2 linked regions of the Callithrix jacchus genome follow. The protein of the gene in region 1 interacts with the protein of each later gene in a pairwise test. Links are inferred from orthologs where the notes say so. Each region holds a gene or a part of one and is shown in the gene's direction. Other genes may lie near its edges. The genes, in order: XPO7 and USO1.

Region 1 (3,826 bases):
TTAATCAAATAAAATTGAGATTTTTAAGACAGTAATTTTATCTGCTGCCTTTTTTTCTTTTAAATGTTTTTAATTTGAGCAGCAGAATCTGAATCTAGCATGTTGGTCTTCAAGATAGAAGCGACATTATTGGTTAAATATCTATAACTTGGTTATTCTCATATTAGAATAGGCAAGCTACTTATTTTAATGTAAATGCAGGATCACCCAAGGTATGAGAGCCTCAAGTACCCTAGTCTTCCAAAAAAACAGTTTGACTTTTTCTCTTTCTGTGCTCTCTGCTCAGATCCCAGCGACTCCAGTTTGATGTCTCTTCCCCCAATGGCATCTTACTCTTCCGAGAAACCAGCAAGATGATAACAATGTATGGTAAGTGCTTCAGAGAATCATGCCTCTCGAAGTTAATTCCAGCTCAGTCACCACACTGTAAGCAGAATGTGTCTCTCCGGCCAGCCCTGGCAAGAGCCAGGACGGCATTCCTGTCATATGCTAATACAGGTGCATTAGAGTGCCACCTGTCACCAGGGGCCTGCTGGAATGTAGTATGCCTTTGGAGTAGGAAGGCTGATATAAATGAGCACTTCTAATGTAGTTGAATAAACATATATGACATGTCTACTCAGGCAATCGAATCCTGACACTAGGAGAGGTCCCAAAGGATCAGGTCTATGCTCTGAAGCTCAAGGGCATCTCCATCTGCTTCTCCATGCTGAAGGCTGCTCTCAGTGGGAGTTACGTCAATTTCGGAGTCTTTCGTCTCTATGGAGACGATGCCCTGGACAATGCTTTGCAGACCTTCATCAAGCTGCTCCTCTCTATTCCCCACAGTGATCTCTTGGTAAGCCTTACGCTGCATTGCCAGAATCTTGTTCCTCATCACATTTAGCCTTTTTCACCTGAGACCATGATGGAACATTGCTCTTGAAAAACTATATAAGCTAGCTCTTTTCTGCTATAACTAAGTCTTTTGTTTTCCCAACTGAAAAGAGGATCTATTTAAGATCGTCTCCCTGCATGCTGGAGTGCATAGTGCCTAAGCTGATTTTTTTCCTCCTCTCTCCCACAGGATTACCCCAAGCTCAGCCAGTCTTACTATTCACTACTGGAAGTCCTGACCCAGGACCATATGAACTTTATTGCAAGCCTGGAACCTCATGTCATCATGTATATTCTCTCTTCCATTTCTGAAGGACTTACTGCTCTTGGTAAGCACGTGGGTGGGGTGGGTAAGTTGGTGGGTTTTTTTTGTTTTGTTTTGTTTTTTTTAACCACTTAACAGAAAGGGAGAAGCTTTAGAGATGAGCAGGAGCAAATCTGGAGATCATGAAGGGGGCCCATAAGCCGTATTAGGCTATTTGAACTCTGTCCTGAGGGCCGTGGAAGCTGGGGAAAGGTTTCACACAGCTAGCGCCATAAGTTTTTTCTTCCTAGTCCATCTGGTTCCTGTCAACCAATTTGTTTATAGGTAATAGGTGTATGTAATAGGTAAATGTGTTTTGTAATAGGTATATGTGTTCGGAGAATAAAACAGATTTTTATATTAGGCTGAGCAAAACCTAAGTAGGAGGATTAAGTCAGCTGCCAAATAGTGATGATATATTGCAAATACACATAGACTGACTTGTGGATTATCAACTGTGGTGAATTATCCATGCCTCTGTGCCACTTTGATACACACTCACTTCCATTTCCACTATTCCATCAGGGTGCACAGCCATATGTAGTACAGTCCAGTCAAGGTATCAGTCCTTGCTTTGGAAGACTGTTGCCTTATTGAAAATAGAGGGACCTTTGCATAAACCATCAGTCCCGTAGGAATCAGAATTGCTTACTCGTTTAAGCGTTCATCCCTTAGTTCTTTGGGCTCACCTCATCAGAGTTCTGTTCACAGGTTGTGCTGTACTGTTCCCTTTGTAAAGATGCATAGATGAGTCTGCAGCTCCCTCCAGAGATGTGCGGGAGATAAACACATAATACAGCACAGCCCACTCTAACAAACCATAAACATTCATAGGCTACATCAATCTTGGTTTCATGACATCCTGCAGGTAACTCAGAGCATAGGCTCCTACCCCAGGCTTCTTGGATTCCAGTCACAGCTTTTGCAGTTACTAGCAGTTGATCCTTAGGCCAATGCATAACCTTTCCAAATTCTGGTTTCCTCGTGTGTAAAACAAAACCTACTTCGTGGAGTTCTTGAGAGGCTAAATTAGATAACAACACCTATAAAGTACTTAGAACAATATCTGGCACCACAGAAGCACTTGCTGAACTAAACTGTTTGTCATTTTGTGTGCAGCAGAAGATGTACATCAGCAACACATTGAGACAGTAATTTCGGTATTCTTTATTTATATATATTACCAATACTCACTTTCAAACTTGGAAATTGAGCCCAGCTATACAATGAGGGTAAGAGGTTAACAAGGAGTCTTGACCAATGGCCTTGGCTGAATTGGCCACTGGACCCTAGTGGATCTCAGCCAAAGATAGTCCATATTTGCCCAGGTCATCTGCAGCAGCTGTCCTACTCCTACCTTTCTTTCTTGCAGACACCATGGTATGCACAGGCTGCTGCTCCTGCCTGGACCACATAGTGACATACCTCTTCAAGCAGCTGTCACGTAGCACCAAGAAGAGGACCACACCCCTGAACCAGGAGAGCGACCGCTTTCTGCACATCATGCAGCAGCATCCAGAGATGATCCAGCAGGTAAGAAAGTGGAGGCTTAGGAGGCAGTGATGGAGTGTCCGACAGAGGAAGGACCTCTGCAAGACAGGGGAGGCCACACATGATTAACCTAACATCTCATCAGGTTCCTGCTGCTGAGATGAAGTTTGTTTCTTCAAGTTGCAGTGGAGTTTGAGTTTGCCAAGTAATCAATCCCTGGATATAGAAAATCTGAAAAAAAAAAAAATCAGGTTCTGGATTATTATTCTGTCACAGCAACCCCTGTGCCTATCTCATGAGCACTATCCTCTTTTCTGTGAAAATTACTTTGCTCACCCACTGCAATAAATAGAGCAAGAGTTAGCAGCAGCCGGCTTTCTAAAGGCCTGTGCTCTTGTTTACAAAACAGGAACGTAAATGTAAGACAGAAGGAAATAACTGGCCACAGAGAGATCAACTATATGCTTGCCCTTATTTTATTTGTATGCAATGAAAATAAAACTTGAAATAACTTACAGAAATACATACTAGATAAAAATAGGTAAGGAAATGGGATCACTAACTATTGAGATTTTAGCCAATCTTACCTTTGTCCACACTGTTCTCTAAAGAAGCAGTGACATAGCCAGGTGTGTAATCCCAGTATTTTGGGAGGCCAAGATGGGTGGATCACGAGGTCAGCAGATCAAGACTATCCTAACACAGTGAAGCCTCATCTCTACTAAAAATATAAAAAATTAGCTGAGCATGGTGGCACGGGCCTGTAACGTCAGCTATTCAGGAGGCTGAGGCGAGAGAATTGCTGGAACCCAGGAGACAGAAGTTGCAGTGAGCCAAAATTGCACCACTGCACTCCAGCCTGGGCGACAGAGTGAGGCTCCATCTTAAAAAAAAAAAAAAAAAAAAAAGTGAGGGGCAGTGAAATATCATTATTTATCCACAAACTATCATTAAACTATCAACTCCAGGTACCTGGAAGGGATCATGCAGGTTGGTTTTGCCTAGTGTAATTTTGTTTATGTGACCCCATCCTATTCCCCACAAGTCAGGGTGAACTGGAAAGATCCATTTGTAAGTGAAATTATCAAACCAATTTTAAGAACAGGAAAGGAAATGAATATCTTAGAAGAAAAGGTTATCTTGAAATAGAAGACT
Region 2 (3,826 bases), on another chromosome or scaffold:
GTATTTTCAGTAGAGATAGGGTTTCACCATGTTGGCCAGGATGGTCTCGATCTCTTGACCTTATGATCTGCCCACCTTGGCCTCCCAAAGTGCTGGGATTACAGGCGTAAGCCACCACACCTGGCCACAAATGAAGTTTTTAAAATACTGTTTCAAATAATACTGAATATGTAAGATAAGCATGTATATGCATGTACTATAAAAGTAAAATTTGTTGAAAATATTTGTGTTTTATTTTATTTTATTTTATTTATTTTTGAGAAGAGTCTCGCTCTTGTCGCCCAGGCTGGAGTGCAATGGAGCGATCTTGGCTCACTGCAACCTCAGCCTCCTGAGTAGCTGGGACTACAGGCGCCCACCACCATGCCTAGCTAATTTTTGTACTTTTAGTAGAGATAGGGTTTCACCATGTTGGCCAGGCTGGTCTTGAACTCAACCCTCAGATGATACCCACCTTGGCCTCCCAAAGACGTGAGCCACTGCACCTGGCCTGTGTTTTCTTTTTTAAGATCAATATCTAATCACAATAACAAAACAAGCAGTACAAATTTCGCTAATACACAAGCCGCATGTAGGCTTTCCATAAGCTGTGGAACATAGGCACGTTAAACCCTGCCAGCATATTATTGTGTGACAGAGACATCAGAATAAATAGGAAGAAAGAAATGAGATTACATTAGTGAAAATAAGGAAAATAATGTATAATTGTGCTTTTTGTGGCCAAATTATTTTATTTTTAAACCATAGATTTTATTTGAAGCTATTTTCTTTTATTTTAATTGTATGCTTGAAGTTGGGATAAAAAATATTTTTTTAACTTGAGCTTTGAGTTCTAAAATTCTGGTGTTAATTAGACTTGTGCTGTAAAATGCTTTGTGTTTCTGTTTACTCCTTCGATTAACTGAAATTATAATGCTTTTTTTGTATCTCTAAAGGTTTTTTTGAGGAATAGCTAACTAAAACTATTTTTTGGATGTTAAACTTATTTTTTTGCAGTAACCGTTTTTGATGAACAGTCTAAAAAATTCTCATGTTACTCCTGTACCCTTAACCCCCACCCCTAAATTCTTTAGGTTGAGCAAGTACAGTGATTTGTCATAGAAAAAAACTATTTGTTAAAAACTCTAGTAAAGTGAGTGCTAATTTTAGATTCCTGCCTTTCACCTTTCTTTTCCTAGAATGAAATTAAAGCTCTGTCTGAGGAAAGAACTGCCATTAAAGAGCAGCTGGATTCATCTAATAGTACCATTGCCATTTTACAAACTGAGAAAGACAAACTAGAGTTGGAAATTACAGATTCTAAAAAAGAACAGGATGATCTCTTGGTGCTCTTGGCCGATCAAGACCAGAAAATACTGTCATTGAAGAATAAACTCAAGGATCTTGGTCATCCAGTAAGATTAAAATGTCTTCAAAAATGATTTGTATTATGTTTTAATGTAATGCATTTGAAAGATTTTTAATGTAACATGGAAAAGTTGTGCTATATTATAGGAATGGATATGTGGGTTCATGAATATGGTATCATCTACACTGTGTTCGCTGTGTTCATTGAATTTACTTAAGACACACATTAGCTTAAGTTTTCAGTACTTATAAACTATTTTCTTTTGGACCTTGAGCCTAGAAAGTGAATTTATTTGATTGTTCATGCAGTAACAAGACTGTTGTCACCCAAGTGTGTCATTATCTTTTGTCATGTTTGGTTCAGATTTGTGTGTAAAGTAGTATAGCCATTTATCAGAAAAGCTAACTGATAATATCTCATTCATATTAGAAATGACAGCCTTGGGCATTAGATCAAAGAAATCAGATGGTATATTCTACTGTAGTTACAAAATTTGTCCAGGTGCAGTACTCACACCTGTAATCCCAGCACTTTGGGAGGCTGAGACAGGCAGATTGCCTGAGATCAGGTGTTCGAGACCAGCCTGGCCAACATGGTGAAACCTTATCTCTACTAAAAATACAAAAATTAGCAGGGCTTGGTGGTGGGTACCTGTAATCCCAGCTACTCAGGAGGCTGAGGCAGGAGAATCCCTGGAACCTGGTAGGCAGAGGTTGCAGTGAGCTGAGATCATGCCATTGCACTCCAGCCTGGGCAACAAGATCAAGACTCTGTCTCAAAATAATAATAATAATAATATATATTGTTAAATGTTGAATGTGACATGAACAAATTTTCACAATATTAAATGAGTCTTTTTCCTCTAGGTTGAAGAAGAGGATGAACTTGAATCTGGAGACCAAGAGGATGAGGATGATGAAAGTGAAGATCCTGGCAAGGACCTAGATCGTATCTAGCTTTAAAATCTCTAGGAACAATAGAGATTATATCATAACTTTGAAGATGGAATCTAAACTTTGGTTTACCTCCACAGAAAATAAAAGATTTAGAAACCAAGTGGAAAACATTCACTATTAAGACTATTGATATATTTTTGTAATGTTGCCACCCATGTTGAAAACCTTAAAACTAAATTTATGTAGAACACACATCTTTTATTTAAATCTATCTTAACTGTCCCAATGTATAATTTTCAAAGAGCTTCAGACACCAAAAATATACCATTTTAAGACATGTGGTGGCAATGCTATTTGCCTTAGTTCATTGGTTGTTAACTTTTCAAAATTTGTGACTTTTAACTGCTAACACATTTGATTTAATATGTTGAATTGGAATTATTATTTCTAAATTCAGCATTTGAGTTTAGTTGATGATTTTCTTTTGAAGAAATTAGTTTATTTAAAAGCAAGATCGCCTGGCCTGGGGGTTAGTGCATATCAGCCCTCCATCTAATGTGATATCTAAGATGTGCAGTATAGAACAGTTTAGAATGAGTGCCTTGCCACCTACATATGGCTGCATTCCGTACCTCAGCGAAGAAGCCGAAGGATGCTGACACAGTGATGTGGAGGGCATTGCTGAGAAACTTTTGCAACAGTGTATTAATGTGATTGGTTTTCTTTTTGTTTTAAGCTAAACATCTAAAACAAATTTCAAGTTAACAGTTCATACAACTCAGATTTAGTATTATTGTTTATCATAAAACATATTATGTTCCTAGTTTTAAAAGTACCCAAACTATGATTTATATAATTTATTGGCATTTTTGCTGACTAGGTTTAAGTCAGATAATAGATTTTAAAAAAGCAAATGAAGCAGTGTGTCAAAATTTAATGTTTCATAATAAAAAATAGATACGTTCACTTACTTAATCCTTGGTCACAGTTCCCTTTTTTTACATCTTAAGAAAAGTATTTTCGTATATTTTTTTTAATACTTTAAGTTCTGGGGTACATGTGTAGAACGTGCAGGTTTGTTACATAGGTATACACATGCTTTGGTGGTTTGCTACATCCATTGCGCCATCATCTACATTAAGTATTTCTCCTAATGCTATCCCTCCCCTGTCCCCTCACCCCCGTAAAGTATTTTATTCTTAATAAAAGACGAGGTAAGTGAAAATGGTGAAGAGACTTCTCTTATTAGGGTATACAGCTATAACTGAATGTTAAAAACAATCTTTAAAACCAATGATTAGGATTCCCTAAATTTGGAGAGGGTTAGTTAGAGCAACTACAGAAGTAGAAGAGGTTAGAAAAGGGTTTGGATGTTTCTTTTTTTTTTTTTTTTTTTTGAGACGGAGTTTCGCTATTGTTACCCAGACTGGAGTGCAATGGCACGATCTCAGCTCACCACAACCTCCGCCTCCTGGGTTCAAGCAATTCTGCCTCAGCCTCCCGAGTAGCTGGGACTACAGGCGTGCACCACCATGCCCAGCTAATTTTTGTATTTTTAGTAGAGACGGGGTTTCACCTCATT

Evidence for each region.
Region 2: the proteins of XPO7 (region 1) and USO1 interact in binary tests that used the Homo sapiens proteins (3 or more experiments, as listed by UniProt). The two-hybrid records come from large-scale screens. The link is inferred for Callithrix jacchus from reciprocal best matches to the Homo sapiens genes XPO7 and USO1.

What each region holds. Positions count from the first base shown.
Region 1 is NC_133514.1:19,495,948-19,499,773, reverse strand, and holds part of XPO7 (exportin-7), read left to right. Parts: intron 1-286; coding exon 287-369; intron 370-623; coding exon 624-838; intron 839-1,066; coding exon 1,067-1,205; intron 1,206-2,327; exon of another isoform or gene 2,328-2,552; coding exon 2,553-2,713; exon of another isoform or gene 2,714-2,902; intron 2,903-3,258; exon of another isoform or gene 3,259-3,392; intron 3,393-3,826.
Region 2 is NC_133504.1:122,331,613-122,335,438, reverse strand, and holds the end of USO1 (general vesicular transport factor p115), read left to right. Parts: intron 1-1,178; coding exon 1,179-1,394; intron 1,395-2,214; coding exon 2,215-2,304; 3' UTR 2,305-3,219; downstream 3,220-3,826. UniProt on the Homo sapiens protein: General vesicular transport factor required for intercisternal transport in the Golgi stack; it is required for transcytotic fusion and/or subsequent binding of the vesicles to the target membrane.